6 linked regions of the Bombyx mori genome follow. The protein of the gene in region 4 purifies or fractionates together with the protein of the main gene of each other region. This does not show direct contact. Links are inferred from orthologs where the notes say so. Each region holds a gene or a part of one and is shown on either strand. Other genes may lie near its edges. The genes, in order: actin-like protein 6A, brahma-associated protein of 60 kDa, protein polybromo-1, ATP-dependent helicase brm, SWI/SNF-related matrix-associated actin-dependent regulator of chromatin subfamily B member 1-A and SWI/SNF-related matrix-associated actin-dependent regulator of chromatin subfamily E member 1.

Region 1 (5,632 bases), on a different chromosome or scaffold from region 4:
GTCCGACTCGCGCAACAATCGGACGCACGGTCCGAGTCACGCTCACGCAACACCCGGACGCGCGGTCCGAGTGATGTATGATCCGCGGCAGAAATACGACGGACAAGCGTGCGAGCTCACAATGCCTAACACCAATTAATTGATACACAAAAAATTCTCGGATTCTAATTTTCTTTTCACGATAATTTCTTTTCAATTCTACCGTGGAAATAGCCAGCAAGACACGGAACAATATACATGCATAGCGTGACATAAAATTATGTTTAATTACTCTATTAGATGGATATTTGGAATCACAACTTGAAAATATATTATTGGATTGCAATCTAAATGGTATGTGCACTCAGCAAACCCGTATTAATGTACATAGCTTTGGCTATTGAAAACAAAATTACAAATAAAAATTAATAATTACAAATAAAAATAAAATTAGGAGTACCAGAAAAACAAAAAAAAAAGATATGGTATCCTTAAAAGTAGACAACAATACCAAACCAACACAATCAATATATTGATAACTAGCCATTGTTAAATAGTTTTAATTAATTGATTTTTTTTCAAATTAATCAAAACACCCAATAGAATGCATCCATGATCAACCTATAAATTGTTTGACCCTGGATGACATCACACAGAGAAAAGTTGCTTGGGGTCAAGTCTTGTGGAGTGCGAGACAATTTTCTGTTTCGTATTTTTAAATGTCTTTATCCCTGGCTGTTGTCCATGAGTGACAGTGACCACATACCAACAGGATGATCCTAGTTTCGTTTTCCTTTCAAGACAACAAATAAGCGAAAAAATTCACCCATCGATAACAGGCACGGCTGATGTCTGTGTGGCTCCAGCGTCTATGACCAGAGCTGTAGATTTTCCATTTGCAAAGGCCACTAGGACAGCATTCTTGACCAGGAAGAAAGCTGGTGCTTGATACTTCTCGAATATGAGTTCGGCTAGCTTCTCCCTCACTGGCCGGGTGGCCCAGACTGCCTCAGTGAAGAGTACTGGATGGTGCTCTGATGGGGAGCGGATTACCTGCACAATCAAAAACCCTCATAACAAAACGAAATTTTATGTATGTTTGGCACCGGTCATGGGCTAATGAACTTAGGTCTTAAGTAATTTTTTACACATGCTTTTATTCGCTTGGGATGTATGTCCTGTTGTATGTAAAAAAAAACTTTGAATGTTGTTTCGACCAACTTCAAAATATCTGATTAATTTAAAAATTAGTGGATGCATTAAGGACCGGTGACCTAGTATTAATTTTATTACTATATATTTAATTAGACAAATATGAATCTGAAAGACATTAGGATTTACTGAATATACCTTGTCAGAGCATGGCATTGCCCTACTAAAACGTTGCAACAAAAGAAAAACCTAGAACTTAATTGAAGCACCATATCCAAAGAAGACTTGTGTCTCGAGGTGAGTGATGGCATTAACAACGTAGGTGTCTATGGGCTCCAGTATTGCTTAGATGGGTGGACAAGCTCACAGCCCACCTGGTGTTAAGTCGTTACTGGAGAAATAGGCAGGGCGGTGGTATCTACCCGCGCGGACTCACAAGAGGTCCTACCATCAGTTTGTTATTAATGATTAGTTAGTGTTCAGTGAAACAAAAAATTACCTTAGAATAACAATAATCAAGCATCTTCTCAAACAGATCCCAGTTGTCGACTTGTCCGTCTTTCATGTACGTCTGCACTTCCATTCCCGGACGCGGAACGTGGAGCTCTGTGACGTCTATGTAGTGTCGCAGCTCACTGCCCGTTTTACTGCCTGTTAAGGAAATAATAACATGTTATCTTGGGAATATAGAGCAGTGATTTCCCCTTGCCTTCTGCATCAGACATTAGACAGTATCCTTATTCTTCGGTTTCCTCAATACTGAAGATCACCTCCTTGCAAAAAGAATTTATTATGGACCATTCCACACCATTTACCTCTATCTGCCGCTGAGTGTAGAGCATCATGAGCTGTGGTGTTGAGGGTAGTGCGGATCTGGTCAGTCCCATGTGTCGGGCCTCTACCTCGTGGTCTTGTCACCATTAGCTTCTCCAAGCTGCCGTGATTCTTTATTGCAATGTTGCCAAAGTATTCCAGAAGTCTACGTAGGCAGACGGCAGAAAGCCTCGTCTTAGACAGTATAAAGAGGATAAATCATGGCAGTATACAGAAGGTCCACCTCACAGCAAACTGATCTTCATCGAAAGACTTCCATATCGGTGGTTGCATTCCCCAGTAATGAGGGAACAACGATGATAAAGAAAAAAAGGGAATAATTTTGACAACTGTTGATATTGCTCAATTCCAATTGTAATTTGTAAACAGATTTATAGTCTTAATGTTAAACACTTATTGAATTTAAAAATAAACTAGACCTCCAGTTCTGAAAATTGTCAAAATAAATACAGCAAACATTTATCAATTTGGTCAACTATGTTCAAAGAATATGATCACTGATTAAAAAAGATTTCAGTCCCAACTGTAACAGTAATTTAATGTTTGTTGCATAGAAATATTAGTATGAGTTTTTTTTTATTGCTTAGATGGGTGGACGAGCTCACAGCCCACCTGGTGTTAAATTTTTACTGGAGCCCTTAGACATCTATAACGTAAATGCACCACCCACCTTGAGATATTAGTTCTACAGTCTCAAGTATAGTTACAACGGCTACCCCACCCTTCAAACCAAAACGCATTACTGCTTCACAGCAGAAATATTCAAAAGGCCTGCTATTGATTATTGAAGAAAATACTTTTTTGTGGAAGTCTCACAGAATGTAGAGATCGTCACTAACCAAGGACTGTACCAGCCTTGAAACGTACATCAGTAAAAGTTGCTGATACATTTTGTAAATAATAATAGTACTAAAAATCTCAAAAATAGGCAATCCATTCTTATATATTTTTTTAAGTTTAATTATTTCATTTTGAATTAATAATATTTAATATCAATCATAGCCAATAGTGTCATGCTTTTGTATTGAATTTTGGATACATTTTTACAGATGGAGCTCTAAGGTGGATAACTAGCTTATATGCTTTTTTCTACATATCATACATGTATAAAATTGGATTCAGTTTCTTTGGCACAATTAAGTTACCAATTCTAATAAAACGCATGTTTGAAACGCGGGAATATCACACAAATCATGATCTTTTATTATTAATTATACAATTGATGAATTTTGTAAATTTTAAACACCAATAAATGAATGTTAGTTGGATATTTTATATAATATCTTAACAATTGAAAAGTTTTTTTTTCAATTTGTCAAAAACAATGAGTTTTGTGAAATGTATTCTGTTTGCAACCTCAAAAACAAGCTATAAACAACTACACTTCGGTGATGAACTTAATTTCAATACTCACCGGTTTGCGTGATGTTGCCATCAGGAACCTTTTCTTCGGAATTTGGGATGTGTGTAGCTGGTCCGACGCCCACAACTGCTGGTATATCAGCTTTTGGGGTATCCTCTTGTGCATAACCAACTCGCAACGAATGATGACCAGGATCAAAGACTAGTGCACCTATCTCGTCTCCCCCGTACAGCATGCCGTTCGGGCCACTCATAATATATTCTTTTATAATGCTATTGTAAAAATTTTATTTTCATTTAATTAAAAATAATAAACATACTATGTATTATTATCTATGAAATAAACGACAATGCCCAGCGCGTTTGTTGTTTCTTTTGACAGTTGTTTTTTTTATATATTTTGTCGCCTGGTAACGAGACCTTTAAGGGAGCCTTATTTTTTTTTAATTTGTTGTATGAAACATGAAATTAAGCGAATGAGATGAAGTTGATTATTTTGAGCATTTAATCGATTGAGATGAAATTAAATGAAACGAGATGATGTGGGATGAAATAAAGTCTCAGTAATTTGGTGGTTTTTTATTGAAACTTTTCAATATTTTCTAAATATTTTCAAAAAGTCCTTTGGCAGTTGAGTTTAGTTTTCAGGCAGACCAAAAATAGAATAAATGTATGAGTCACCTTAATTTTAATTATGTAGTAAAGCGGATATGTAGGGGACTAATATTTGAGTTCCTGTTCAATTTAGGACGTAACAAATGTAGTAGTAGTGGGATATGTTTTTATAATAAATCTTCCATTAAGGTAAAAATTCAAGAATAAGTACGGCTGAACGATGAAAAACAGTTAATAAGCAACAGCCACATATAATAACTAATATGAAACAATAAATTGTTGTTGTTAATGGGTTTTTAAGAATCGCAACTCTTCCCAAATAGGAATTTTTAATTTTTTTTTAAATAGGTAAGTATAAAAGAAATATGTATTAGAATCATTGTATGTTAAATCAACTCACAAAAATTAAAGAACAAGTAGATCAACATCTCATGACTTCAATGGCTTCCACAGTGAAGAATGATTGTGAAATAAAAATGAAACCCGAAAGTATTATAATTTGCCTAATCACCGGAGGTAGAGCATCTTGTGAGCCCACACTTAAAAAAAAATTGTTAAATATAATTTCATAATCACTAGCAACTTCGGGAGATTAGAACTTTGACCTTCCATCCTCACATTAAGATTCTGTGATGAAGAAGAGTCTACGATCGTACTGCGTTAAGTACAGGCTATTTGTCCATAGACTATAGAACGTCAAGCAGAATTAGCTCCATTAGTTTTGCCCTACTTATTCGCGGATAGCGTAAGACGTCCAGCTACTCGCAGACGGGTAGGTGAGCTCACGGGCTAGCAAAAGCGGTGCTTCGCAGAATCTACGAGCAGATCGCAATCGCGACCCACTGCGAAGGTCCGGAGAGAGACTCAGTGGGCATTCATTCGCAGTAAAGTGACACTTTATGGAACAAGCATTAGCCCCATCAAGACACATGCGAAGATGGTCTTTAGTCACGTAGCTAAGTATTTTTTTGGAATGGTAATATTACAGATAGTACAAAAACATAGACAGGACATATGGGCGACGCAAGGATTATATGACGAAGGGAAGATTCGCTACCAGCTACTGGAGCGCTCCCAGAGAAGGCCTCCTACGAGGTCCAATCAAAGCATGCTAATAAAAGACATCACATATAATTTGACACCACAGTTTATTAATTATGTTTTATGCGAAGTAATATTATTTTGGCTAAACATTCATTTTACATCGAACATGTAGTAGTATTAGAATATAAAATTATCAATTATTACTGCGATCACTACACACATAATACACGACAATTAGATCAATAATAAAACGTACATATTAAAAAAAAAGATTCACAAAATGTTATTAATAATTATGTTGTTTTTATCACAACGAGTACATAAGTAGGTACAAGAGATTCCAATTTGTTACACGCGATTACTTCCCCTCTTTTTTTAAAAGTCATAGACGATTTTGAAAGAGCATGAAAATCACGAATATTAACAGAAATATTTTTTTTATTTCTACATTTTACGTAGGATATAATTATTTCATTTGATAAAATTATAGAGACCAACGATTTACAATTATATTCGAAATTATTGATATGGACAATACTGATATACGGAAGTGTAAAACATAGAGTATCTAAAAAATAGATAGGAATCATTGCATACAAACATTTAAAAAAAACGAATGATAAATTGTTTTTTTTTTATTTCGAAG
Region 2 (5,614 bases), on a different chromosome or scaffold from region 4:
CGCCCCCTCCTGCCACTACGCCGCCGCCGCCGAATCCGCTGCGTGCCTGTTGACAATTTGATCTTGTTAGCATTGCAGTTTGTAAAAAAAATTGCGATGTTTATGGACCTTGTGCAGTGTCTGTCAGAGTAGCACAAATTTGGTTTAAGCGTTTTCAATCCGGAATTTTTGATGTCAAAGATGCACGTCACTCTGGTCGCCCTATTACAGATCAAATGGATGCCATTTTTAAAAAAAATGGAGCAAGATCGGCTTATCAGTAGTTACGACGTAGCTGAAAAACTGGGAATTGACCACAAAACAGGTTTGGCGCATTTGAAAAAAAACTGGGTACACGAAAAAGCTTGATATTTCGGCAAAGGCCGGTCAGGCTTAACAGACTGTGGCGAAACACGGTGTAGCTCGCAACAAGGTAATGCATTTTGTGTGGTGGGATTGGAAGGGCATTATTCATTATGAGTTGTTACCACAAGGCAGGACCATCGATTCTAAGCTCTACTGCGAACAACTGAAGAGATTAAAGCAAGAAGTAGAGAGAAAGCGGCCGGAATTCGTCAACAGAAGGGCTGTGGTTTTTTATCATGATAACGCTAGACCTCACACATCTTTAGCCACTCAGCAAAAATTAAGAGAGCTTGGAGATGTTAATGCTTCTGCCGTATGGTCTTGACCTTGCACCTTCCGATTTCCACCTGTTTCGGTCTCTTCAGAACTCTTTAGGCCAAAACCAATTGTCGCGGTATTTTGATCAGAAGCCCCAAAATTTCTATAGCAATGGGATCATGTCCCTACCTACAAGTTGGCAAAAAGTTATCGAACAAACTGGTACCTACATACTTTAGTTAAATGTAAATAAATTATATTATGAAATGTTGTGAATTTTCTTAAAACATGCGAAGAAACTTTTTCCCCAACCTATTATTTTGAGTCACAGGTTATTAAAATCGCTACAAAAAAGGTGACTGTAATTCTGGCCTAAGTCAAGTACCACAACTACTCAAACTAGCTACATAACTTAAACAACAGGTCCAAGAATTTAAGTTTTTTCAATTGCTTGTAGTAAAATCTGGATAGACTTATTGTTGTAATGGAAGAAAATAGGTAATGGAATTACATGAAACACAACCTGACGCATAATGTGAAACCACATCCAGTATTTTGAAGACTACAATGAAGTTGCTCAAATCAATCAGAATTAATCTATATCTACTTATAAAATACAATCATAACTAGTCTCAGAACTGTATTCAGTGAACTAGTAATATGAACTTCAGACAATGCATACAATCTTGACTTTATTTATGGAAAAGTACTTATATTTAACATTATGTGTATTCTATAATACTGAGATGTTACTTTAAGGAAGATTTTTGTTTTGAGTTTGTTCTTTTTTTTTTGTTTTGTTGTTGTTGTTTGTTATTCTTTTGTTAATGCACCTACCATGCATTATCTCTGCACCATCCTATGGTCGACTGGAAGAGAATGCCTATGGCATCAAATCCGCCTGTGTACAACTTTTGTTTTGTGCATAAAATATAAATAATTAAAGGAAAAAAAAATTGTATATGAAGTTAAATGATATGCCCACAATAATAATGATAATCATCTTCATTTCTACATAATTCGTACTGTCAAAAGAGCACATTTAATGTTATGAAGATCATTTAAGTGAAGTCTGGGGATAACAAATAAATCTTGAAACAACTTTCAAGTCTATAAGGGGACCTTACTAAGTTTTAAACAACAATTTTACAATTTTAAATCATCCATCACGATTCAATGAGGGAAACTCTTCCATTTGTATTACAGGCGAATAAGGGACACAAGATCTCTTGACTTCGACTCATAAGAAACCCAAGTAACTTGTTTTTGAATCATTCCTAATCCATACAATTATTTGGAAATGGCTTGGAGACTAATTTCTAAAGCTCAAGCGAGCTGATATCCCATTTGGCACGGATCCTTCTCGAGAAAGATCCTCCCGTTCAGCATCTTTGAAAGTTTTTGTTTTTTCTTCACGTAGGCTGTTGTGAGCTTGAAATCCCTGAATCTTTGAAGTGATGAAGCTAATCACCTCACATTATTTGGCTCAGAGCAAGGTCTTTGTAAAGTTATTGGAACTCTCGTTGTGCTTCAGCTGCCGTTTTCTTTCAATGAATGAACCCACTTCAGCAACACTTCAGCATGATAGAGCACACTTACTTTTTTACTTACTTACTTATTTTATTTTGTTAAATACAATAGAACTTTGATAGCTTAAACCTCAACAACATAATAACCTCTGTTAATTCATAATATTTTGTATTCCCTTCCCCTCAGTCCTAAACCTCTTCTAATTAAAATATGAAACATCTATAACTAAAACTAATAATTTCGGTGTCACACCTCAGTATCTCAAAGCTGTAGCTACGATGACCTTTGTAACTTCAATCTTACCTATGTCCATGTCATGAGTCATTGTAGATGAATGTGCAAACAGAAATGGTTCCCTGTATGTTAGGGTACATGTAGGGAATGTGAACATAAGAAAAAAAATATACCATTATTCATGGTGCTCAGAGTGATGATATGATTTAAATGACGAGCCACAAGATCCACCTGTGATTATATCTATAAGCGAAGCAAGGCCAGCTGTAAACGCTTTATGATTTTTACAGATCAATTCTTTAACACAGAGGATGACATTTTCTCCTCTTTATTTAATATTGAAAATAAAATTAATTTAAAGAGTGAATTAAATGAAATAACGAAAACAACTTTATACATAGTAATATAAATTAAAACAACTTATATAGAATAAAACAAACTTTAGTAAAAGTTTAACCTAACTTTTAGCCTTTAACCGTAAAATAATGTATGTATGTACATATGTATTAACATTTCAAAGTTACATTTGCATTTAACCTAGCTATCTCTATAAATCCTAAACAAAGCTCATAAACGAACCTCTGTAAGTAAAACCTCAATAACTCAAAATATTTAACATTTCCATTGGTCTTTAACTTATAGAGGATCTACTGTACTTGAAGTTATCAAATTTTTGTAGCAAAATTTTAATGTCACATCAAACGGTGTGGGTTTTACCACAAATTACCCACATAGGGTAATTTTAAAATAAAGTGAACATTACTTCAATAGTGATTAAATAATCGAATAATTTATTGAGTATTGTACTACAAACTACGTTACTAATAATGTCGCTGCCTACCCGTGGACGGTGAAAACCCAGTCTCAGTATTTTGTTTAGAGAATATAGTTGCCATTGGAATGTCAAAAACATGCACCAGTGACCTTTTTTTCTTATTTCGAAGCTTCTGTGCAAAGTTTGTTGCAGTATGTAAACCATTGTAAAACAATAGTTGTTTAAATAGAGCAACAAATTTTGCACATACCTAAGTTTTGACATTTGACTGGGACACTCACTGGAAAGTTAGGTCCTGGGTAGGGTCGGGGTGGTAGCGGCGAGGCAGACGGCGGCTGCGGCCCTGCGTATCTTTGTTGGGGCGGTAAATTTCCTGGAGTACCACCGGGAGATCCACCTGGACCACTTACTGGGAAACGCTGAGCCATTTTTTGTTAATTTAACCACAAGGTAACATTTACAATCTCAACTCATACACTGATTCATATAAAAATTCGTGAAGATATTGATTATTCGTATTGTTTTATATGTAAGAAGACAGATAAATTGAGACGAACACAAATAGTTAAAAGATGTTTGAAGAAACAAAATATCTGGCGCAGCGTCACAGTATAGATAAATTAGGCAAAAGAAACATAATCCATACAGCCAGAGTATTTGTAACCAAGTCCGAAATAAAGTTAAATTTTTTGGAAGTCAGATATTATTATGTTATTAATGAAATGATGAATGAATATTAATGAATTTCCTGAATAAACTAATTAACTTTTTAAAAGAGCCTAAGAAGAAAGGTTTAACTATTTTGTTTAATTTTCTCATAGTTGCACAACTATGAGAAAACTAATACTTTCACAGATGTTAAACGTTAAAAAATCATGAGTAAGCTTAAGTTGTTGAATTAACAAAAAAACGACGCAGTGTTTCTAAGTAAATAGTCTAGGTGGACTTCACGGTGGTGCTTTTGCAAACTTACGGTCGCAATGATGAAACGCGGGGTCTAAGACGCCTTCTGCCAACCCGACCTATCTAGGATTTAATTTCTAATTGAGTGTTGGAGTCAAATGTAGGTGAATGAGCTCACAGTCCACCTGGTACTAAGTGGTTAAGTGGGTGGCGCATTTATGTTGTAGATGTCTACAACATACATGCGCCACCCACCTTGAGATATAAGTTCTGAGGTATCAGTATAGTTATAACGGCTGCCCCACCCTTCAATCCGCAACGCATTACTGCTTCACGGCAGAAATAGGCAGGGTGGTGGTACCTACCCGTGCGGACTTACATGAGGTCCTACCACCAGTAAAGGTTGTTTACAATCAGCAGGAAATTTTACGCAGATGCTATGATATTAAAAGAAAGTTTTTTTTATGATTGTGGAAGTACTGGTGGCCCGGAGACATTTCCAGTTTCACAAGGACAGGTGGGCGAGCAATGTATCAGCCCGAAAGGACGGAATTTGCTAACAGCTACTTGAGCGCCTCTAAGGGAGACCTAAAAACTCAAAAGTAGCTACTGCTTCGCGAATGAATCTACTACCGGATCGGAATCGCGACCCGCTGAGAAGATCCGGCGAGAAACTCAACGGGCTGATGTTTAGGTTGCACGTCGAACTCTTTGCCGAATTCGACGTGTACGGTTATCGGAGTCTCTACCCCTAGTGTTAGAGCACAAGGCGTCTAATGCAAGGGTTATTGGATCCGATGGATCCGTAAGGACGTGTAAAAGAGGTAGGTATTATGGGTGCCACTTTTTAATATAACAACGCCAACTGTGATAGTAGGCAATATTAGAAGTCTTCACTATTTCTGTCGCAAAGAAGTCATACGTTCCGGTTTGAATCTTAGGTCACCCTCTATATTATACGATTTTGCAATTAAGTCTTACACTTCATGTTTCAAGGCACACATCGTGGGAGGAAGTATTAACATTTTGACGCGTACTAGCTTCAGTAAACACTCCTGCTTGAGTGAGCGATGCATCCGCGTGACAGCTGCTATACAATAATACATTTACATGTTTTCGTCAAGTATGAAGTTCAGTGAAAAGAATTGGCGAGCGACTGAAGAGATATTCCGCCGGGAACCGTGCTTTCTGGTCGCTCGCTAAGGCTGCAGAAGGTAACTTCTGCAGTTCTAGTCTCCCATCACTACGCAAGTCCGATAAGCAGAAGGTAAATTCAGCAGGTCTAGTCTCCCATCACTACGCAAGTCCGACAGTCTGGCCCATAGTGCGAAACAGAAGGCTGATCCTCTGGTCAAACTCTTCGCCTCGAACTCGACTATGGATGACGGGGGTGCCACACCACCGAACATCCTCCAGTGTGATAGCTCTTTGCCGGAGATCTGCTTTACACAGTGTGCAGTCAGGCGGGAGCTCTGGGCCCTGGACGTCCATAAGTCGAGAGGGCCAGACTGCATTCCTGCAGTGGTTTTGAAAACGTGCACCCCTGAGTTGACACCTGCGCTAACGCGT
Region 3 (5,102 bases), on a different chromosome or scaffold from region 4:
ACTTAAAACGTATATTGTTAAATTAATTTAATATTGGCTCTTGATTTGTTTTATTTTTAAACAACTTTTTTGTTGACTTGATCCTTGTGTAGTTGATACATTAGGACTACGCATACAATTTTAGTGATTCCGCATAATTAATGAGCAAAATTAATAAAAATATACAGGATTTTTCATTCGTGCTTGATTCGGAGGAACTGTTCTATTTTTGATTTCGCGTGTGACAAATAATTGTAAACGTTAAAGATTGTTTGTTTGTTTGTTACGATTTTACGTTTCGAGTTGTTAACCAATATGAAATTTAGTTATATACTTCAAGTCTTGTCATGGTCATTTAGAAAGAAAAAAAACTAATCTAGACGGTTAATTTTCTTTTCTAAATTAGCGCGAACTAATTAATGTATGCCGCATTTAAAATTTAGTAGATAGCATTGTATATTAAAAACAATTTTTCGTTACGTAGTTTTGAAAAAAAAAAACGATTAATAATATGAACCGTGACATAATTTCTCTCGTTAATTTTTTACGCTCCCCCGAACCGGACCGCAGAAAGAGAAGGCACGAGAAAGATTATGTCGCGCAACCCTAACACGAAGGTACGTCTGGGCTAAGGCTCGCTTTGAATGATTCCGCCAGGCGACATATCGCGCATCGTGGGCAACGAGTGGCGCTCGCTGCCCGCCGCCACCAAGCAGAGCTGGGAGGAGCGAGCCGCGCGCTGCAACGAGGAGACCGCCGCCAGGCTCGCCGACGAGATGCGCGAGTTGGCGCAACACGTTAGTGCCCAAACAACCGCCAAACAGCGACCCAAATACCTTTTGCATCGTCCTCTAACGACAAGAAATGCCATTCTACAATCATATCTATTTCGAAGTGAAACTTCTTTAGGATCGTTGCGATTTCAAACTCGATGAAACGAAAAAATAAGTCCATAGAGACACAAACACATAAATGTATAGGATTCAGCCGGCGAGAGAATGAGATAGAACACATTAGATGTTGTCGGTCTCCTCTTTTTGCGACTCTTCGTAGTATCCCCACTATCGTCTACTAAACATTGTCCATATGTATGCTCCTGTGTAGTGGGATAGTCAGTCACACACTTTTTTTCCTACCTATTCTAGAAACCTCGAGGAGTTATTCTAGATTCACAGTGGGCTATGTCTATGGGTTAATTTACTCATCGAGCCCTTCGTTGCAAGCGACGGGTTCGGCGAGGACGGTGACCCGTACTTGAAGTATCTAAAAGCACCGTTACTGGATCGGGAGGATCCGTAATGACGTGCTTAGGGCGACGTCGACTGTTTACCATTCGGTCCACAGGATCGGGTATGATCATATCAATGATGACGAATCTCGATGACTATAACATTGGCCCCGAATCGGCGGTACTGAGTAAACACAACCCTGTTGAAACTGGAAAGGCACCCGGGCTACAAGTGATCCATGTCTTAAAAAAAAAACAAAAAAAAACCGTGCACGTGAATGAAGTGAAACTTCTTTTTTGATGTGTAGTAATGTGGTTTTCATCCTTAAATCAGATTGCTCTTGTAATAGAGAAGGCTGTGTATAAAAGATACGTCATCTTCAACACTTATATTATATATATTTTAAATTATAGATAGAAAAATAAATATATATATTTTTAAATACTTCATTAAAATATTGGACGCTACTCGTTGTAACAGGAATACTATGCGCTTGCGCTCGAGTGACACGCATTCACTCTCGCTCTGTCTCTTTCTATTCCATGGCAGAGTTAAACGTTTAACGCAACCTTGTTGGAAGTCACATTAGAAGTTTCACTTAAAAAAAAAAGTAAGCACACTCCCGGAACGTGCATGATTCTTATAACAGACAGACCACTGTAGAGGTTTTCAAGCTCGCACCTTAACACTTGATTGTCAAAGAAGAACCAGTCATAAAATGGTCAGCGTTATGCAATATACTTTAATGAAAACATAGACATTAATTTAGTGAATGTATTAATATTTTTAGACAACAATGGAGATGACGTACGAATGCGCCTGGGACACGTGCGACTGTCAGTTCGAGGACCTGACCGACTGCATGGAGCACTGCATCGGCGACGGAGGAAACAGTAAATATCTTTACATTTTACACATTTCATTTGGAAGCTTTGAAAAGTGCTTAGGCTTAAAAAAAAACACTTCTAAGAAATTCGAGTAGATTCTTCTCGAAATATCATGTCTATTCATTACAGTCATTCCGTCAAGTAAATTAAGGGATTTTAAAATTAATAGGAAGTAATTTAGACTTTGATCTCCCATCACAAGGCGAAACAAATGATATAATTTTTGAAGTTATACTTCTACACATATACAAAATTATTTCATATAATTCATACTAAATATTATTAAATTATTAACGTTAAATATTTATTATTAATCATTGAATATTTAAAAAAAAAAAGAAATAATTTTAATAAAAATGAAGTATAACTTCTTACATAAGCACACGCACCCTTTTTTTTTTGTTTGTTTCTATGCTACTCACTCTGTTTGTATTGTATGTCTTAAATTCAGTATTAAAAGTTTATTTTATTCTCTGACTCAACTTGCGTTCTCGTATGGGAGCTAGATAGACTTTTGCTAATGTGTTTTTTGTTCGTACTTTAAAACGCTGCCAGTGATCGGAACGTATCTAGAACCGAAAAGACCTAAACTAGAGCGTAAGTATCAAGTTGAAATCGTTGGAACGGTGATACTCAACTACACAACTCTAAAAATGTGCAGCTAAATTTTATAAATGAGTCGTCTATTATCAAAGGTGGCAATCTGTGCATTTGGACAAAAAAATGTTATTGATATGTCAATACAGATTGATTTGAATATAATCGTCTCCTTCAAAGAATACGGTTCAAAATCTGCATTAAATAAAGGTTAATAGTTAACCTGTTATTTATCTAAGATGTCGTTCGGAAGAGTTTTGTGACTACCAATGGAATACAAAGTCAATAATTCGTTTTTCTGATTTACCAATAATTGTCCAAAAGTCACATTGCCGGCTTTGATAATAGTCGACTCAAATTTGCTTAGAAAAAATTAGTTTTTATTTTATTACGAGCAAAGTTTAGATTAATTAATAGTACCTAATCAGAATAACGTCGTTGTCAAACCAAAATCTGCTATGTGTAAAAACTCTATTTTGAATTAACGAGTAAAAAAAACATTTTCGTATGAAATTTTTATATGAAGGTGAATTTTTATGAACTCTATCAAATGAAAGCTATAGATGAAGTATTAAAGCTATAGACACATAACAGTTTTTCTTATACGGTAGACAGGGCTGTGAACTATACGAAAAGTGCACATAGCAGATTTTGGCTTACAACGACGATATGTTAAAATTTTAAATAGTACAATATATAATAACAAAATCCTTTTTTTGTGTCGATCAAAACAACTTCAACGTAATTTATTTAAAGTTTAAAGTAATTTGTAACATACGGGACTGCATTGAAAACATTCGACAAATATTCGACGATTAACGTGCAAACGAAAACAGTAGTATTTATTACGTATGAAGTCGTCGAAATTTGTCGATGATTCGGTGCGGCCCCGGGGCCCGAGTGCGGCGTTGTTAATGAACGTCCACAATGTGGTCCGCCGGGAACATGCGTGAACGCAGCGGGGCACATCCAGCAACACTACCGCGGCTCGTTCAGCGAGTACCCCTGTCTGTGGCGGAACTGCGCGCGCGTGCGCAAGGGGCAGGCGCCCTTCCCCAACCTGCCGCGCCTGCTGCGACACGTGCGCGACCTGCACGTCAACAAGGGCAACGGACGACTCATGGCCGTGCATGAACGCTCCAGGTACGCACGCACGCACACACGCACGAGCACGCGCGCGCGCACACAAACAAACAAACACACACACACACATGCACTCACACACATGCACACACACACGCACATATATCGAGAGGCGAAAGTCTATTTAGTTAAAGCAACATTTCGCTTCATCATCAGCCTGTATCTCTCCACTGCTCGGTGTGAGCCTCTCCCATAGTCTGCAACTAAATTTTTATTATGATATTTTAAACTTTAAATGGCTCCCCTGTGAAGTTGCTAAAAGGTCGCTTAAAGCACCTTTCTAGCTTTTCACCCCTCGATATATACCACCGCAATGTCCGGCCTTAGATTTAGCTTCACGTTCTTAACGCAGCGTTTGCGTGATCGCGTCCACAAACTTCAGAAGCTTTTGATCATCCAAAATTTTTATCTTTGATTCATTATTTATCATGTTATTATTATTATTATGATTTTATACAGTGAACCCGCAATGTACCGAGAAGTTGTCAGTCTCGTAGAACATTTTCGTTCAAGCTGGCGCAATATGTTTTGATGAAGATGAATAAATAAACCGGACCTCACGGACAAGCTGTTACACAAACAAAATCAGTTTTCACTTTCGATTTTTGAACAGATTTTCAATTTTTTTTTACTATAACACATTTGGGAACATTTTTTTTTAATGAACCTTACAATAAAAACTGTAAGTAACAAAGCAAGTAAAACGAAAGTATATCTTAGATGCCAGTGATTACGGTCGAACTTCGATGACAAAGCAAATATGTACCGCTTACAAAAAAAAACTTATAATAAATTAATAATTTTTTGATTTAGGAATTTCATGCTGTCATCGAAGAAGCCGCGGCCGGCGGTGCGGAGCGGCGTCATGTCCCCCGGAGGTACAAATAGCAGTAGTAATAGCCAAGGTTCGCATGCTGACGTACTAACAAACGGGACCGGCGCTCCACGCACACTAACCGAACAGTGTGCTTAGTGCGAGCTTTTTAACGTTCTCGATAGCGTAAAAGTTAACTCAGATTTGTATGGAGCTAGAACAGCGCCCCTAGCGGCAAACATAGGCAAACTGGTGGTAGGACCTCTTGTGAGTCCGCGCGTGTAGGTACCACCACCTTGCCTATTTCTGCCGTGAAGCAGTAATTTCGGTTCGAATGGCGGGGCAGCCGTTGTAACTATACTTGAGACCTTACAACTGATATCTCAAGGTGGGTGGCGTATTTACGTCGTAGATGTCTATGGGCTCCAGTAACCACTTAACATCAGGTGGGCT
Region 4 (5,102 bases):
TTAATGGATGATATACATATAAACCTTCTTCTTCAAAATCAAAATTCGTTGCGTAGTTTTAAAGATCATCATACATAGGATATAGGGACAGATGAAGCGACTTTGTTTTATACTATGTAGTGATAATAGTTAAATATTGATTGAGTTTGATTCATCCCAACGAATTGATTTAGTTGAACTATTTGTTAAGTAATATGCTTTCAATCATAATAATTTGGTTGGTCGCAGAGCACAGATTTCGGCGTATCGGAATCTCGCCAGAAATCAACCCTTGCCGCCGCAAGTGGCCGCCTTAGCTACGGGCAAACGTACCGGCGAGAGTCCTCCGGAGTGTCCGACCCCGCCCGCGAGCGGCGCGTACGGCGAGGCGCAGGGCGCGGCGGGCAAGCCTCCCGCTGCGCACGGCGGCGCGCCTCCCACCCCGCTGCCCATGACTGGACAAATGGCTCCACCTACACAGCACACGCCCCCCCTTGTTAATCCGGTAAGTAATTATATTCATGTTTCATCACTTGAATTCTGGAATGGAAAATATTTTTTTATTATAAATAAATACTAGCTTTTGTCCGCGACTTCGTCCGCGTGGAATAGTTACTTTGGCATAACGCTAAATATTACCCGTCTCTTCATTTACGTAGAAAGTGAAAATATTTTTGAATAATAGAATGTTAAGGAGCTAGCTATTTAAGGTACCAAAATCATGCTTTTTAACCGATTTCAAAAGAGGAAGTTATTAATTCGACCATATTTTTTTATCTATGTAAAAAATGATGCATAAAAAACGCTATAGTGAGCCAATCTTAATATATAGACATAATATGCTGTCGCGGACTTTTTTTAGATCTTTTAAAGGGGAACAATTTTTTCAGACATTATTTTAGCGAAACTTTAACCGTTTCCGCAGCGCAAGCAGTGGAAGCTCTCAAAAGGGAAAAAACCCCTTTATTGGTGCTCCGCTTGCATTGGTCTTAGCGTGATGTTATATAGTCTATAGCCTTCCTCGATAAATGGGCTATCTAACACTGAAATAATTTTTCAAATCAGACCAGTCGTTCCTGAGATTAGCGCGCTCAAACAAACAAACCCTTCAGCTTTATAATATTAGTATAGATAAACAAACGTAATACAATCTAATTATGATATATCTGTCGTAGCCGGTGGGTGGAGTGCCGCTTCGTGGCCCCGCGCCATTGCGTCCCTCGGCTCCTGGAGCTCCCGGGACTCCACAAACGCAGCAGGTGAGTTTTATTTATAATTCTCCATGAGCAGACTATTTTACTTCTGTAACTCACGTCAAAATTACTTCACATTCGTATCGTAATGCCCATGGTGAAATTACTTGAGATAAAAATCTTTTGTCTAGCTACCTGGAGCCAAACAAAATCGTGTGACCACCATGCCCAAACCTGTCGGAATCGACCCCGTGCAGATATTGAACGAAAGAGAAAACAGGTAACATGAAAGCAAGAAACTTATTACAAATCGATGCCTCCAATGAACACTACTCTAACTCAAAATTTTGAAATTTTCGTTTTTCACGCAAATCGCTTCACTATGTTAAAAGTATTACAATTAATCATTATTAATGGGGTTCGAAGCAAGAGTAAATCAGCTAGCTACACAAAAAAAACCATAAATATATCTGCAATAATAAAGATTTTATCAACTTTTTTCGTTTAAATGCTCCTCCTGTAAATCTACGAATTTGGAGTTAGCGTAGTCTTCATTGGAGGCATCGAAATGGTACACACAATAGTAGATGCAACAAACGTGATCGTTGTTCGTCACGTCAAGTCGTGATCGTGACGTGAACGACTATTATATGTATGTATGTATGTATATGTCATTGTGTGTATATATATGTTTTGTGTATGTATTTGTAGCTTAATATAAATTTCATTGCACCTACCACTATTTACTCTGCACTACCTTTGGTTGACTGGTAGAGAATGACTTAAGCATTAAGTTCGCCAATGTAAATTTTACATGAAGTGTAATAAATAAATAAATAATTAAAATTTTCAGGATTGCAGCACGAATAGCTCATCGTATAGAAATATTATCAAACCTACCCGCCAATATGCCTGACGACCTTCGGTTACAAGCTCAAATCGAGCTCAGAGCACTCCGAGTGATTAATTTCCAAAAGCAATTGCGTTCAGAGGTGTGTTTTACTTCATTGTAATTTCCCGTACATCCGCCTCACAGTGTCTTATAAGTGTGATAAGAAAACCTTGATTATATTGTAGTAGCGTGCAAACACAGAAAAAAACGTTGATATTCGCCTTTAATAGTGTGCCTTTAATTTTGATCAAAATTGTTCTAGATATTAGGTCAAGTCCGCCGTGATACAACCCTAGAGACCGCTGTAAACATAAAGGCCTATAAGCGCACTAAACGACAAGGTTTGCGAGAGGCCCGAGCCACTGAGAAACTTGAGAAACAACAAAAACTGGAGGCCGAGAGGAAACGACGACAGAAGCACCAAGAATTCCTACAAACAGTTCTTCAGCACGGTAAATGTTTTATTACATTGTTATAATAGTACTATACAGTTTGTAACTATTTATGTTCTATGAGTTGCATCTAAATTTGTAGGGTTTCATTTCGTAGTTAAATAAAAAAATAAATGTATGTTTGTGTCCACATTTAAGATTCATTTTATTTAGGAGTTTATGTATTTTAGTGAGATTTGTAATGTACCTACGTTTATTTTCTTAAAATCGATCTTTTATCAGCCTATTACTTATAGTTGTACTAAAAAAAAGTTTTTTTTTTATCTCGTTACGATGACGAGAGTCGATATTTAAAATAGTATTCTAAATAAAATAATTAATTATTAATTTTGAACACTATTGTATTGTAGTTAAGGATTTCAAGGAATATCACCGTAACAACCTAGCTAAAACAGCACGCATCAATAAATCAATCATGAACTATCACGCTAACGCCGAACGAGAACAGAAGAAAGAACAGGAACGCATAGAAAAAGAGCGCATGCGGCGGTTAGTATTTTAACTAAGACATACAAATAAGTGATTACAAATTTCCGAAACATGCCTATTTAAACACTTTTTGTCATAACAGGTTAATGGCAGAAGACGAAGAAGGTTACCGTAAACTGATCGATCAAAAGAAAGACAAAAGATTGGCGTTCTTATTGTCACAGACTGATGAGTATATAGCCAGCCTTACCGAGATGGTCAAGCAGCACAAGCAAGAGCAACGTAAAAAACAACAAGAAGAGGAACGGAGGAAGAGGGTAATTACTTTTTTATACTATTATCTTCTAATGTAAGCGGTAGGCAGCGGCTTGGCTTTGCCCTTGGCATTGCTGAGGTCCATGGGCGACGGTAACCATTCACCATCAGGTGGGCCGTATGCTCATCTGCCTACTAGGACAATAAAAAAAAATGTGTATATTGAAACTATAGGTTATATATCAAGAAACTATAGACAAATAAGTATTTTCTTTAGTAAAATTTTGCTTGTAATTGCAGAAATCAAGAAAGAAGAAGTTGCTGGAAGGTGGAGAGATTGACGCTTTGGATGACAGCTCCCAGACTTCAGACTCAAGAGTCAGCGTCGTGGATCCTAAGTCTGGCGAAGTAAAAATATCATTTTAAATCTCCCGTCATATTTCATTTTATAAATGCTAAGCTTACAATTGTTTTATAAAACAATTTTACAATCTTACAATTGTTTTAAAGAAGTTACACCCAAACAAACTTGTACTAAAAACATAATTTGTTCACCTATTTAATGAGAAACACTAATATATGAAATATTTAAGAGAAGAATAAATTGTAAACAACCAGTAAAAATTATAATATGTTTAATATTACAACTTCTCTTGAACAGACTTAATTTTCCATTGAATACTTCGTAGATACTGAAGGGCGAAGATGCGCCGCTGCTGTCTCAATTAAAGGATTGGATGGAGACACACCCTGGATGGGAAGTAATGTCTGATTCCGATGATTCTGGTGACGACAGCCAAGACGATGATGGTATGATATTATTTTATAGTATTTATTATGTTCATTGTTGTGGCCTAAAATATATGTAGCGATCTCGGAGGGGAGTGCTGTAGCGAGTCTGAGTGCGGCCCTGCGCTGAGTACGGCCCTGCGCTGGAGCATCGCACTATATATAATATTCGTCGGTACTCCCAAAATGTTTTTTAATTCGGTTGAGTTCGAGACAAAACATACGCTGGTGGTCCGCTATTAACATTTCTATTTGATCGCTCTTTAATTAAATATAAAATTGTAATTAGTGGTATCATTTCACTGCAACAAAACCATAGTTGGTACCACAGATGTGATGATGTCTGGTGTACTCGTATCAAGTGATGCTACTATATTGGCATTGAAATCCCGCAGACAAGTACCCATTTTAAAAGATATACATAGGTACTTGCTCACGAAAGAATGTATTGATCGAGGAATACACTGTGTAATGAAACTGAATAGGTGGTAGGTACCTAACCTTACGGACGTTCAATCTGTCCTTCCACGTGTATTTATCCGCAAGCATTAGCTACTAATTATGTTACAATAAAAAACTAAATATCTTAGGTATGTAAGCTGTGTGTGGTCACAGTGGTCAACTTCACAAAAAAATTGTCTTCTACAAGCAAAATTTTATATACTAAATTCAATCCTATTTATAATAGTAATATGAGATGAAAAGTAGTTAGGTTATGTAACATCATTCATTGTACTGAAATCATGTAAAAGTAGAGTAAGCAGCAACAATAATGTAGTACTATTAATTTATAGAAAAGAGAAAAGACAGGCACAGAGACGACAGGGGCGATCGCGAGAAAACCGACGAAGAGAAAGCGCGAGATATGATTAAAAAGGCCAAAGTCGAGGACGATGAATATAAAACTGAGGAACAGACCTACTACAGGTATGTTTTCAGTTACTGAATTATCTACAATATATTATTAAAAAAAAAAAACTAAACCAATCACATTAATTAATTTTACGTGTTTGTTGTAAGTCGCCACAAGTACGTAACGCCCTATTGAGTATTTTTGCCGCGAAACAAACATGACTTTTGCCTTAAAGGGTAAATTAACCTTTTTTCAAAACA
Region 5 (5,862 bases), on a different chromosome or scaffold from region 4:
AATAGGCTGCCTGCAATCCTTGTGAGAAAAAGCCTCAGACACAGCCCACTGAGTTTCTCGCCGGATCTTCTCAGTGGGTCGCGTTTCCGATCTGGTGGTAGATTCTGCGAAGCACACGGCTCTTGCTAGCGTTCGTGTTAACAACGTCATCACGTTTGAGCCCCGTGAGCTCACCTACTAGTTAAGGCAACGCTGATATAGCCTCTCAAGGCTATCAGCTTAGGCAGGAAAAAAAAGTGGGAACATACACATTATGGATATAAAAATTAAGGAGCGTATTCCTAAATTTATGTAAGGGTTGTGCTAAAAGAACAATATAGAATGAAAACGATAAAACATTAAAAATATTTTAACCAAATTTGCAGGGCGCATTGGAACTGTTCTGTGATCCAAGACAGTTGGACAAGGTCCTCCTGATCTTCAACACTTACTGCAGACCAACAATTTTCATTAAGCATGATTAAAGAACTTTATAAAGAATAGTTATAGTTAAAGATATAAGAAAATGTTATTATATATTTTCAATTGACAGTCGATACAATTCACAGTAAATACAGCCAATCTATTTATAATTTGGTAGACAGCAATTACACATTCTATTATTCAAATACTTTCTGAAATCAAAAATTGAGAATAAACAACCAGAATTGGTAACAAATGCAGTTAAACATACCATTTTTATTCCATGTAAATGTATCCCTGAGTTTTTGACCCTCAATCTCCATGTCCAATCGAATCGGTACAAGCACCTGCTTTTGCGAAGCATTCTCCAGCATTGCAGTCATGTCTGTGTCATCGAAACACAGTGGGAATGTTCTCACCTGAAAAGTATTCATTTTATGCTAGTTTTAATAATGATACTTTAGAACTATAGTATATTACATTAATTCCAATGTTCCATTTCAAAATCTGTTATTTATCTTACGATGTGTCTCTGATTTTGAGATATTCTATCTATCTTATCTATCTATCCTGAATCAGAAGCTAAATTAAATGTGTTGTGTTGACCTTAGAGTGTGGCCCCATGTCAAACATGATTAACTAGATAAACCTAGGAGTCAGAACCTGAAGCCCAACTGGACTTTAAGTTTTGACTTTAACATCCATTTTACCTTCTTATTATGCACCCTACTCCTGCTGATTGGAGTAGCCTGGGGTACAGCATCCAAATGAGAAGAGTTTGGCATGACTGGCAGCCATGATGGAGTGTGTGGCTTCTTGCTTTTGCTCTCACGGGGTGTCGCCAACTCTTGGCTGACGGACACTGCTTTGTATCTATAAATTAATTTAAAGCTGTGTCATAGCTGTAAATAGTTTAATGGACAACTGCTGTTTCATATACAATTCATAGTATTTAAGATTTCCTTGATATGCACACAGCAACTGACCAGAACCGATGGAGACTGGCACAGCTGAAACAGAGTCACAATCCTCAGCAATGAGGGAGCGATGAAGAAGAAAGATATGCACACATTTTGTTTTTTTTTTTATTGTCCTTAAAATAAGACAAACATACAATTCTTCTGATGGTAAGTGGTTAATGTCGTTCGTGGACTTCAATAGTGCCAGGTGCTCACCAAAACTTAAAGGTCTAATATTTCGACTGACTACTTCAGGTAGCTTCACTTATCATCAGATGGATTATGAACTCGTTCACCTGTCTATGCTAACACAGCAATTGTCGGTTTTAACCGCTTTCAATAGTTCACAAAATGTTTATAATGACGTACTTATCATCATTCCCTTCAATAATGTCTTCAACTTCTGACGCCTTCAACAGTGAAACTGAACTGGACAGCACATGAGGACCAAGACCGTTGTCAATTAATCGCTTACGTTCTTCATTGGTGAGGGTACGCCGGCACATGCCAGGGTACTTCTTGTAGAGTGACCCACGGAACAAGCGCAGGTAATTCCCGACCTAAGGCAATAGTTAATTTTTTTGCATTTTTAAGCGGGCATAAGACTAATCAAAATACAAAATCTGGAAATCTCAAGTTAAAACTGCTGTTTTCGACACCACAATATAATTTTGCATTGCTTTTAATTAAAACCACTGTTATTGTTTAATCATTTAAATTTTTTGTCATAACAATTTACAGTAGTTAGAACAGTGTTAATATGCCATGAAAAATGATAATGAAATGAATATAATAAATATGAAATTAGACCTTTTTTTATACAATTCAGAAACACTGAAGAAAATACATCATTGCTCATCTAAAAAAATAAGAGCAGAAACAGCATTGGGTGCCACAACTTGTTTTAATTTGCACTGCAAGCAATCACTGTCGTTTACTTATTCAATATAATTCATAATGGCGCTTTAGAAAGTTCTACTGTAGAATAGAAGATTATAGTGAGAAACTTCACATGAACACTGAATTATGCAACTAGATACAGAAAAAAGATAAAAAGTACAGTATGGTATCTTAAGCCAGTAGTTAAAATGGACTGGTAAACTTTCATGATTTGTATCTCTTTAACTAAAATCTTAGGTTTCTTAGCTAATGATGTTATTGTACATGTATATGTATTTGGGATTTTGTTAAATATGGATCTGTTTACTGGATTACTTACTCGATTATTGCTAAGAAAATGAGTTTTAAAGAATTGTCATTAAAGGGCAACATAATTATTACAGCTCAGTTTTGCCTTCTACAGAAATTCCTTAGTTATTTTATCTCCAAAATTTGTATTCCATTTTCATAAGGGTGATATAGACCTATTGTTCTATTTTTTATCTTATACTTTGATGGACAATAAACTATAGTCTGCTTTACAGTAATGGAAACCAAGCCTCATCGAAATAAGAATAATTCTAAAAGGCAAGTTTGTATAATAGACCAGATTGAGGTTAGGAACGATGTTCTTCGACAAAAGAAAGACTAGCTCCGTTAGTGAATGAAATAATTTTTAATAACGTATCTTTAAAATTATGTTTCGAGTAGTTCGATGTATTTTTAATCAAGAAATGTATGGAACTTACCTCTGAGCCAACACAATAAAAGTCTCCTCCTTCTTCGATTTGAAAACTTATCGGCTTATCGCCGTACGTACGTAAGGCCATTTTTGTAGTTGTGTTGTTCCTTTGATAAAATAATTACATTTACTTCAAGAATTGTAATGTTAATTTGGTAAGGGTAAAATTTATAAATCGTTTCTGTGAATATGTATATATGTATCCAATTATTTTTTTAATTTTATGACCTGGTAACGTACACCTTTAAGTCATATATTATTTTGGAAAGCTACTGGACGTAACTTCTTGGGATTCACCCAAAAGTCCACTGAAAAAATCTCAGTGAATGACCATCATTTTACTGAGATTATATTTCATCCCGTCTCATCTTATTTCCTTTAATTTCATCCCAGTTGATCCCTTTAATATATGTCTCAAATATTAATTTAAATTAATTTGAGACATTCTTGACATCTTCATTTCATTTCATTTCATTTCACTCCATATTATCAGTTTTCATAAAAATAAGAATATAAATTATAATAAGATATAAATTAGAATAAGAAGATTAAAATAAGATAATGACTTAAAGGTCTAGGCTACCAAGTCATAAAATAAAAAAACATTTTATTTGATTTTTTTTAAGAGATTTTATGACCTGGTATCTAAGACCTTTAAGTCATGTCTTATTTTACTTTATATTCTTAATTTTATGAAAAATGATAATATGGAGTGAAATGAAATGAAGATGATTAATTTGAGACATTAATCAACTGGGATGAAATTTAATGAAATGAGATGATATGGGATGAAATACAATCGTAGTAAAATGGTGGTCATTTACTGAGATTTTTTCAATGGACTTTTTGGAGGGACCCGAGAAGTTACGTCCAGCAGCTTTGTTTCATTTTCCCACATTTGTGCACTTTCACAGATATTAAACAGTTAATAAACCACCGTTATTACACATTTAAACCTGAAGAAACACTAAATAGACAAAATAAAACAAATCACACAACTTCACTCCTCGCGTTCCCGCCAAAAAGTCCTATTTTAATTGATTTTTTTTTTTTTAAGAGATTTTATGACCTGGTAACTAAGACCTTTAAGTCATGTCTTATTTTACTTTATAGTCTTAATTTTATGAAAAATGATAATATGGAGTGAAATGAAATGAAGATGATTAATTTGAGACATTAATCAACTGGGATGAATTTAATGAAATGAGATGATATGGGATGAAATATAATCGCAGTAAAATGGTGGTCATTTACTGAGATTTTTTCAGTGGACTTTTTGGAGGAACCCGAGAAGTTACGTCCAGCAGCTTTGTTTCATTTTCCCACATTTGTGCACTTTCACAGATATTAAACAGTTAATAAACCACCGTTATTACACATTTAAACCTGAAGAAACACTAAATAGACAAAATAAAACAAATCACACAACTTCACTCCTCGCGTTCCCGCCAAAAAGTAATTTAGTTCATAGACTATACACAAACACATATTGTTAGCATAGAGTATGATTGTATATAACTAATATAACCTAAATTTTTAGTCTGAAATTAAATGTCGTAGGGGAGTGTCGTCGCAGTCGTTGCGAATTTCAAAAGTGCTCGAAAAAAGAGACCATGTCTTCACGGCAAGGAACATTCAAAAACCCATTCTCCAGACCGTGGATGTCGGAGACAGGTGCAGCGGCTGCGGCTGGTGGTTCGGGTTCAGTAGGCTTAAAGGGAGTTGTAGCCGGCGGAATTACAGGAGGCATTGAAATTTGTATTACATTCCCAACAGAATATGTAAAAACACAACTGCAATTGGATGAAAAAGGTAAATAAAGCACGCCACAATTATCCGAACTAAGTTAGTTAACTAATTGGTGTTTTTCAATTCATAAATTCATTCAAATTTTATTTTTGTCTTATGATTTTGTATATACGTCATACGTAATTTTCCTGCTGTAGCGTAAATCTGTAGTTGAATAATTATGAATAAAGGGTTCTTTAGCACAGGAATTCAAGTTGTAACTAATCAACGTCTTTTTTAACCTTAAAATTTAAAACCAAAGGTTTCCATTACAAGTACATTTTACTGTGTAAACAACTGGAAATGGACTTTGTTCTTTTTTCTAATATCTTCAAGGTTATTCTAAATTAGCATTGAATTTCTTCTGCCTTAACTACGATATAGGTATACTACTACTACTTAATCGATTATTATTTATTAGTTACTTAAATACTTAAATCATGTTTTGAAAGGAATATTTTACAAATGAGAAAATAATTGCTTAGATTGAAGTTGCAAAGTATTCAGTATCAAATTAACTAACAAGTTCTATTACCAAAAGTAAAAGTTTTTCCTAATTTTTTCTCTTTTTAAACCAACTTCAAAAAAAAAGAGGTTCTCAATTTGATTGTTTTATAAATGTTATGTCATAACTTTATTCCGAGTGAACCGATTGTCTTATTTGAAAGCTGTATTATGTGGTCACATTTAAATTTTCTCAAGATCTGATCAGCAGTTTTTAAGCTATCCCCAATAATGCATATTTAATTGATTTTGACTATATGAATTATTATTATATCATCATGATATTTTGTTAATGTAAAATGTACAAAAGAAAACTGTCACCATCTTTCAAAAACGAGCATCATATTTGATGATTTTATGGTGGTGCCCCCATTTAATTTGGTGATGTTTTAATGAAGATCTACAGTCAAATACAATCTCTATACTATCTACATACAATCTTTCTCAATATATATACAATCTCTATACAATCACAAATATCTATGGTGATATGATATCTATCTGGTGGATGGGCTATATATCTGCCTACAAAGCAAAAAATATGTTATCACTCTAGCAGAGTAGTTAGTAACTTTTTTACCCCCAAGA
Region 6 (5,102 bases), on a different chromosome or scaffold from region 4:
AATACTTCATTGTATTGTAACATATGAGTATAAATGTAATAAAATATAGCTATATTGTAACTATACTTGAGACCTTAGATCTTGTATCTCAAGGTGGTGGCGCATTTACGTTGTGAATGACTATGGAATCCAGTAACCACTTAACACCAGGTGGGCTGTGAGCTCGTCCATCCATCTAAGCAATAAATAAAAAAATTGCTACGTATAAATGAAAAAACATATCACAATAACTAAATTATGACTCACAGATATTGAAAAAACAAGTGCAGTCCTTAACGATGCACCAGAAGAAGCTGGAAGATGAATTGCAACAGATTGAAGAGAAGTTCGAAGCCAAGAAACGCAAGTTTATTGAGAGCAGCGAAGCATTCCAAGAGGAACTCAAGAAGGTACCTAGGATTTATTTCAAAAATCGATTTTATCATTATGTATGTTTAAATTTTTCAAGCATCACTTAGATATTATAGTACTTAAGTATTATCCCATATACCATTCTTAAAGTCCCTAATGGAAATCTAAGCAAGTATGAACTGTTACCATTATGCAGTCTCCGAAGTAATTTTGTAATCTTTCCCAGTTTGTGGGGTTGGGACAGTTTGAAAGTTTGACCTCCATGTCTACGTCCATTGATAATATCAGCGTGTAAGCACTTACCCATGTTAGCTAGTTATTAAAAAATAGTAAAAAGTAGTTTTTTACTGATGGTAGGATCTCTTGTGAGTCCGCACGGCTAGTTACCGCTGCCCTGCTTATTTCTGCCACGAAGCAGTAATGCGTTTCGGCTTGAAGGGAGGGGCAGCCGTTGTAACTATACTTGAGACCTTAGAACTTATATCTCAAAGCTTGTGGCGAATTTACGTTTTAGATGTTTATGGGCTCCAGTAACCACTTAACACCAGGTGGGCTGTGAGCTCGTCCACACGTCAAAGCAATAAAAAAAAAAGGAAACTAGTAATTTTGTCTTATTTAATGTGAATTTATTAAATGCTCCGGTATTCATTTTAGTTTTGGAAAATGAAATAATGTTAATATTTTTTCCAGCACTGCAGGCCGGCTGTGGACGAGGACACATTCCAGCGCATGGTGGAGCGAGCTCTGGAGCAGATGCGTCGCGGGATCAACCCCACCTCGCAGTCGCTCAGCGCCGTCGCTCACGCCGAGAAGAAAGACGAGGTATGCTTCATTCGAAAATTGATTGATCGATTGAAAAATCTTTATTGCACAAAAACATTATACAAAGGCGAACTTAACGGCAGACAGGCATTCTCTTCCAGTTAACCCTCGTTGATGAAGTGAGGTGCTTTTAGGTACCCCAAGCACCGCTCACCGTTCTCGTCGAACCCGTCGCGACGTGTTCGGGTTCGACGAGTAAATTAACCCTCAGACACAGCCCACTGAGTTTCTCGCCGGATCTTCTTAGTGGTTCGGGTTTCCGATCCGGTGGTAGATTCTGCGAAGCACGGCTCTTGCTAGGGTTCGTGTTAGCAACGTCGTCAGGTTTGAGCCCCGTGAGCTCACCACTAGTTAAGGTTCCGCTGATATAGCCTCTCAAGGCTATCTGCTTAGGTAGGAAAAAAAAAAGATGAAGTGAAAGATTCAAGAAGTGCATAGCTGTGATAAAGTTAATACATAGCGATAATTTAAAGCACTAGTAGACATGAGTGAAAATAAATATTTATAATTACTTTTCCAAAATAAATAAATACATAGATAAGAAATACATATAAAATAAAATAAATTATTATATATCAATCAGTGTTTTGAAAAAGAGATAATGTACTATCGCTTTCAAAATACCTATCGACTGAACATGCTTCACGGAAATATATGTAATAAGTATAATATACAACAAACATTTTTCCCTGCAAAGTCTACTGATTTACCAAATAATATTATTTGCCAAAAGGACTTTAGAACATACATTATTATCCAACATTTTTAAATTTTATTTTAATGTATTTTTTATTTTATTTTAATGTATTTTTTATTTTATTTTTAAGCAAAGGCTTGGCTCTGCCCCTGACATTGCTGACGTCCATTAGGGATGGTAACCGCTTACCATCAGGTGGGCCGTATGCTCACTGCATGCAAAGGCAATAAAAAAATTATTAAAAACTTGTCTTTGTTAACTCAAAAAACAATGTAAAATAGATCCCCATAGAGAGGTGGTACCCATCATTTTACAACATTTGCAACAATGTAAATAAATATAAAACTATGTCTTATTTGTTAAAGAATAATAAATAAATAAAATTGATACACAGCCGATGGACCAAGATCAAAATCCAAGTAAACCAGAAACAAACGGACCTCATCCTCCCACTCAAGTGGATAAAGTGTCTACCAGTGACGTGAAGCCTGATTCCATAGCAACTGACATAAAAGTCGAGGAGCCAAGAGAAAAGGAACCTGAAAATGGACCAAGCCAGGCAGATGACGAGGGTGAGACTGAAAACATAATAATAAGAAACTATACTAAATACTGTTACAGATCGACACCGCACAACATGTAATATTAGTTTAAGAATACACAAAATAATTGAAACTTTTAGGGGGCTTTTATACTACAAGATCCTACAAGATGTTCAGTTATTAACTAAACATAGTGTGTAAAATTTTAAATTATTAAGTCAATAATTATTTATCATACAGTATGATGTAGGCAGGATTCTGTTCCAAACTGTTTCGTTTAATATTTTATTTGTAATTTTTATAAAAAAATGTAAATGTCCTTGTAAAAGAGAAAAACAAAAAAATGAGTTATGGTACTTTAAAAAAAATGATTGATGGAATATTGTAAATCAAATTCGAAGTGTTTATATTCAAGACTAGCGACCCGCCCTCGCTTCGCTTCGGAAACATTAAAACACACATGAAACCAAAAAAAATATTAAAAAAAAAATAAAAAAAAGTAGCCTATGTTCATCAGGGACAATGTCGGCTTCTAATGGAAAAAGAATTTTTCAAATCGGTCCAGTAGTTTCGGAGCCTATTCGAAACAAACAAACAAACAAATCTTTCCTCTTTATAATATTAGTATAGATAGGTCTTTACAAGTACTTTCTATTGTCATAACTTTACCACCAATTATCGCGCAGTGTTTTTTGGCCGAATCTTCCCAGGACTATCCTAGTGATAAGACCTTTTATCTTTGACATTCAGCAATCATATGTTTTGATGACATTTAAATTGTAATAAATTGTTTAAATATTGAGTTCACACACACACAGTCACACATACACCCAATATTCCACGACATTTGACTACTGTAGAGTACCAATATTTTTTTGTTTCAAAAACATTGAGATACTTGGTTAAGGACGGGGTAGGGAGTGATTAAAAAATGTAAAGTATTTTTTATGTGCAGGAGATCGTAAAGAAGAAAAACCAGTAGAGGTAAAAATGGAGAACAAGGAAAGCATTCCACCCGCTCCCGCCCCGCAGCATCCCCCGCCCGCGCACCCTCCGCACATGACCTCGCCTCCACACCACGGTAACTAATTTTCACACGAAAAACTCGAAAATGTTGATGTTCTATTGTTAAACCACTGATTTTGTTATTAACTACTAGCTGATCCGGCAGACTTCGTAGTGCCTCAATTGATAAATAAAAGACCTAAGCTTTTGTATAAAATAAACTTAAAAAAAAACAAAAGGAAACTGTCAGACGGGGACACATGGAAGCAAAAACAAAATGTTTGTTTTAATATAATTCCGAGCATTTTCATGTTTATTCACCTTTTAAACCTTCTCTGGACTTCCACAAATAATTCAAGACCAAAATTAGCCAAATCGGTCCAGCTGATCTCGAGTTTTAGCGAGACTAGCGGACAGAAATTCATTTTTATATTATTAATAACTATACGTTTAATACAGCAATGATGATGGCGTCGAATCCTACAACTGCTCCGCATCCTGGCCCGCCAGCTCACGGGGGTCCTCCACCGCCAACAGGTGCCATATTGTACTATAAACTCACTCGTGACTAACATATTCTCACATCAATCGAGCACTTTGGTCGCTGTCCATTCTCACGTCTTTCTATCATCACGGTGTAAATATGGTATTCACATTTATAAGGGAGTTTTAATGCGCACAAATATATTGCGGGTAGCACTCTGGAGTCACAGCTGTGGTTCATAAAACATGCTTCATGATGATGGTCGTTTGTCTTAACGGTATGCAATGGAAAAGCTAATCTGAATTGTTCTTAAGAAACCAATGGTGCTATACAAATTTCGTAGATACAAGAGACAACAAATATCATGAGTATTCGTAATGTTCATAGAAACATTAATTTAAAATTTAGGTTTGCTCGATGAACCAAATAATCTATAATAGTTTTCAGTGATTTACTAATTAATATGCCTTGTATCTATGTTTTATTAAAAATATTATACAAATAAAATAGATATGTCAGTATTATGGACGACTAATAGTGGGCACTCATTTTTTTCTAAAAAACTGAAGGATATTTCATTTAATAGAAAATCACACAAGATCGGTCGGATGCTAGGTTAAAATCTCAGATAAAGAACGTTGTGAGCCACACTAAGACTGGTGTAATCGGAGTCGTGTTATCACAATAAGTATGAAATGTACGCGCAGTGGGGGCGTACGGCGCCCCGTACGGCGGCCGGTACTACGGCGGGTACGGGGGCGGGTTCCCCGGTGCCTACCCCCCGCACCCCCCACACCCGCCGCACCCATACTACCCCGCCGCCGCCCCGCCCGAACACTACGCGCATCTACCGCACCACGCGCCTCCACAGCATCACGACGTCAAACGTGAGTACTGTACCAGGTAGGCGTCGAATACACGAGATGCCCTAGTGACATCGAGCGGACTATGGTTAGAGGAGATCATGATAACTTTCTGCCATGACGTCAATAAACGGATAAATATACATCTAAACCAAAAGGTAACATAGAAAAGTGATCAATAATACTGCGGCACTTTTTCACACGTATTTGGTTGTAAATATGCATGCTCATTTTTTTTAATCATTCACATGAAAATAAACACTTGTTGGGTCTTAATTCATATCCGTTTGCATGGGTGACTAACGATTTTGTTTTTGTTATGTAACAGTAATACAGAA

Evidence for each region.
Region 1: the proteins of ATP-dependent helicase brm (region 4) and actin-like protein 6A purify together in Drosophila melanogaster (affinity purification with western blotting; 7 studies listed by BioGRID, with this or other methods). This does not show direct contact. The link is inferred for Bombyx mori from reciprocal best matches to the Drosophila melanogaster genes brm and Bap55.
Region 2: the proteins of ATP-dependent helicase brm (region 4) and brahma-associated protein of 60 kDa purify together in Drosophila melanogaster (affinity purification with western blotting; 8 studies listed by BioGRID, with this or other methods). This does not show direct contact. The link is inferred for Bombyx mori from reciprocal best matches to the Drosophila melanogaster genes brm and Bap60.
Region 3: the proteins of ATP-dependent helicase brm (region 4) and protein polybromo-1 purify together in Drosophila melanogaster (affinity purification with western blotting; 3 studies listed by BioGRID, with this or other methods). This does not show direct contact. The link is inferred for Bombyx mori from reciprocal best matches to the Drosophila melanogaster genes brm and polybromo.
Region 5: the proteins of ATP-dependent helicase brm (region 4) and SWI/SNF-related matrix-associated actin-dependent regulator of chromatin subfamily B member 1-A purify together in Drosophila melanogaster (affinity purification with western blotting; 7 studies listed by BioGRID, with this or other methods). This does not show direct contact. The link is inferred for Bombyx mori from reciprocal best matches to the Drosophila melanogaster genes brm and Snr1.
Region 6: the proteins of ATP-dependent helicase brm (region 4) and SWI/SNF-related matrix-associated actin-dependent regulator of chromatin subfamily E member 1 purify together in Drosophila melanogaster (affinity purification with western blotting; 6 studies listed by BioGRID, with this or other methods). This does not show direct contact. The link is inferred for Bombyx mori from reciprocal best matches to the Drosophila melanogaster genes brm and Bap111.

The regions. Positions count from the first base shown.
Region 1 is NC_085108.1:7,028,019-7,033,650, reverse strand, and holds the start of actin-like protein 6A, read right to left. Parts: upstream 3,721-5,632; 5' UTR 3,582-3,720; coding exon 3,380-3,581; intron 1,783-3,379; coding exon 1,631-1,782; intron 1,033-1,630; coding exon 806-1,032; intron 1-805.
Region 2 is NC_085116.1:238,337-243,950, forward strand, and holds the start of brahma-associated protein of 60 kDa, read right to left. Parts: upstream 3,774-5,614; 5' UTR 3,571-3,773; coding exon 3,424-3,570; intron 47-3,423; coding exon 1-46. UniProt on the Drosophila melanogaster protein: Involved in the recruitment and site-specific anchoring of the Brahma complex at specific promoter sites.
Region 3 is NC_085132.1:4,582,865-4,587,966, reverse strand, and holds part of protein polybromo-1, read left to right. Parts: intron 1-636; coding exon 637-776; intron 777-1,998; coding exon 1,999-2,101; coding exon of another isoform or gene 2,102-2,102; intron 2,103-2,650; coding exon 2,651-2,692; intron 2,693-3,634; coding exon of another isoform or gene 3,635-3,651; coding exon 3,652-3,835; intron 3,836-4,648; coding exon 4,649-4,740; intron 4,741-5,102.
Region 4 is NC_085121.1:5,478,054-5,483,155, forward strand, and holds part of ATP-dependent helicase brm, read left to right. Parts: intron 1-228; coding exon 229-484; intron 485-1,154; coding exon 1,155-1,238; intron 1,239-1,363; coding exon 1,364-1,452; intron 1,453-2,025; coding exon 2,026-2,164; intron 2,165-2,326; coding exon 2,327-2,516; intron 2,517-2,866; coding exon 2,867-3,005; intron 3,006-3,087; coding exon 3,088-3,262; intron 3,263-3,500; coding exon 3,501-3,608; intron 3,609-3,889; coding exon 3,890-4,010; intron 4,011-4,783; coding exon 4,784-4,916; intron 4,917-5,102. UniProt on the Drosophila melanogaster protein: Transcriptional regulator. Acts as a coactivator, assisting one or more dedicated transcriptional activators of ANTC and BXC homeotic gene clusters. Can counteract the repressive effect of Polycomb protein.
Region 5 is NC_085122.1:12,050,759-12,056,620, forward strand, and holds the start of SWI/SNF-related matrix-associated actin-dependent regulator of chromatin subfamily B member 1-A, read right to left. Parts: upstream 3,246-5,862; 5' UTR 3,071-3,245; coding exon 2,990-3,070; intron 1,922-2,989; coding exon 1,731-1,921; intron 1,276-1,730; coding exon 1,113-1,275; intron 822-1,112; coding exon 674-821; intron 1-673. Other genes in the region: putative tricarboxylate transport protein, mitochondrial, read left to right, coding at 4,596-4,794.
Region 6 is NC_085120.1:6,515,141-6,520,242, reverse strand, and holds part of SWI/SNF-related matrix-associated actin-dependent regulator of chromatin subfamily E member 1, read left to right. Parts: intron 1-248; coding exon 249-389; intron 390-1,041; coding exon 1,042-1,173; intron 1,174-2,264; coding exon 2,265-2,442; intron 2,443-3,367; coding exon 3,368-3,493; intron 3,494-3,876; coding exon 3,877-3,954; intron 3,955-4,608; coding exon 4,609-4,788; intron 4,789-5,102.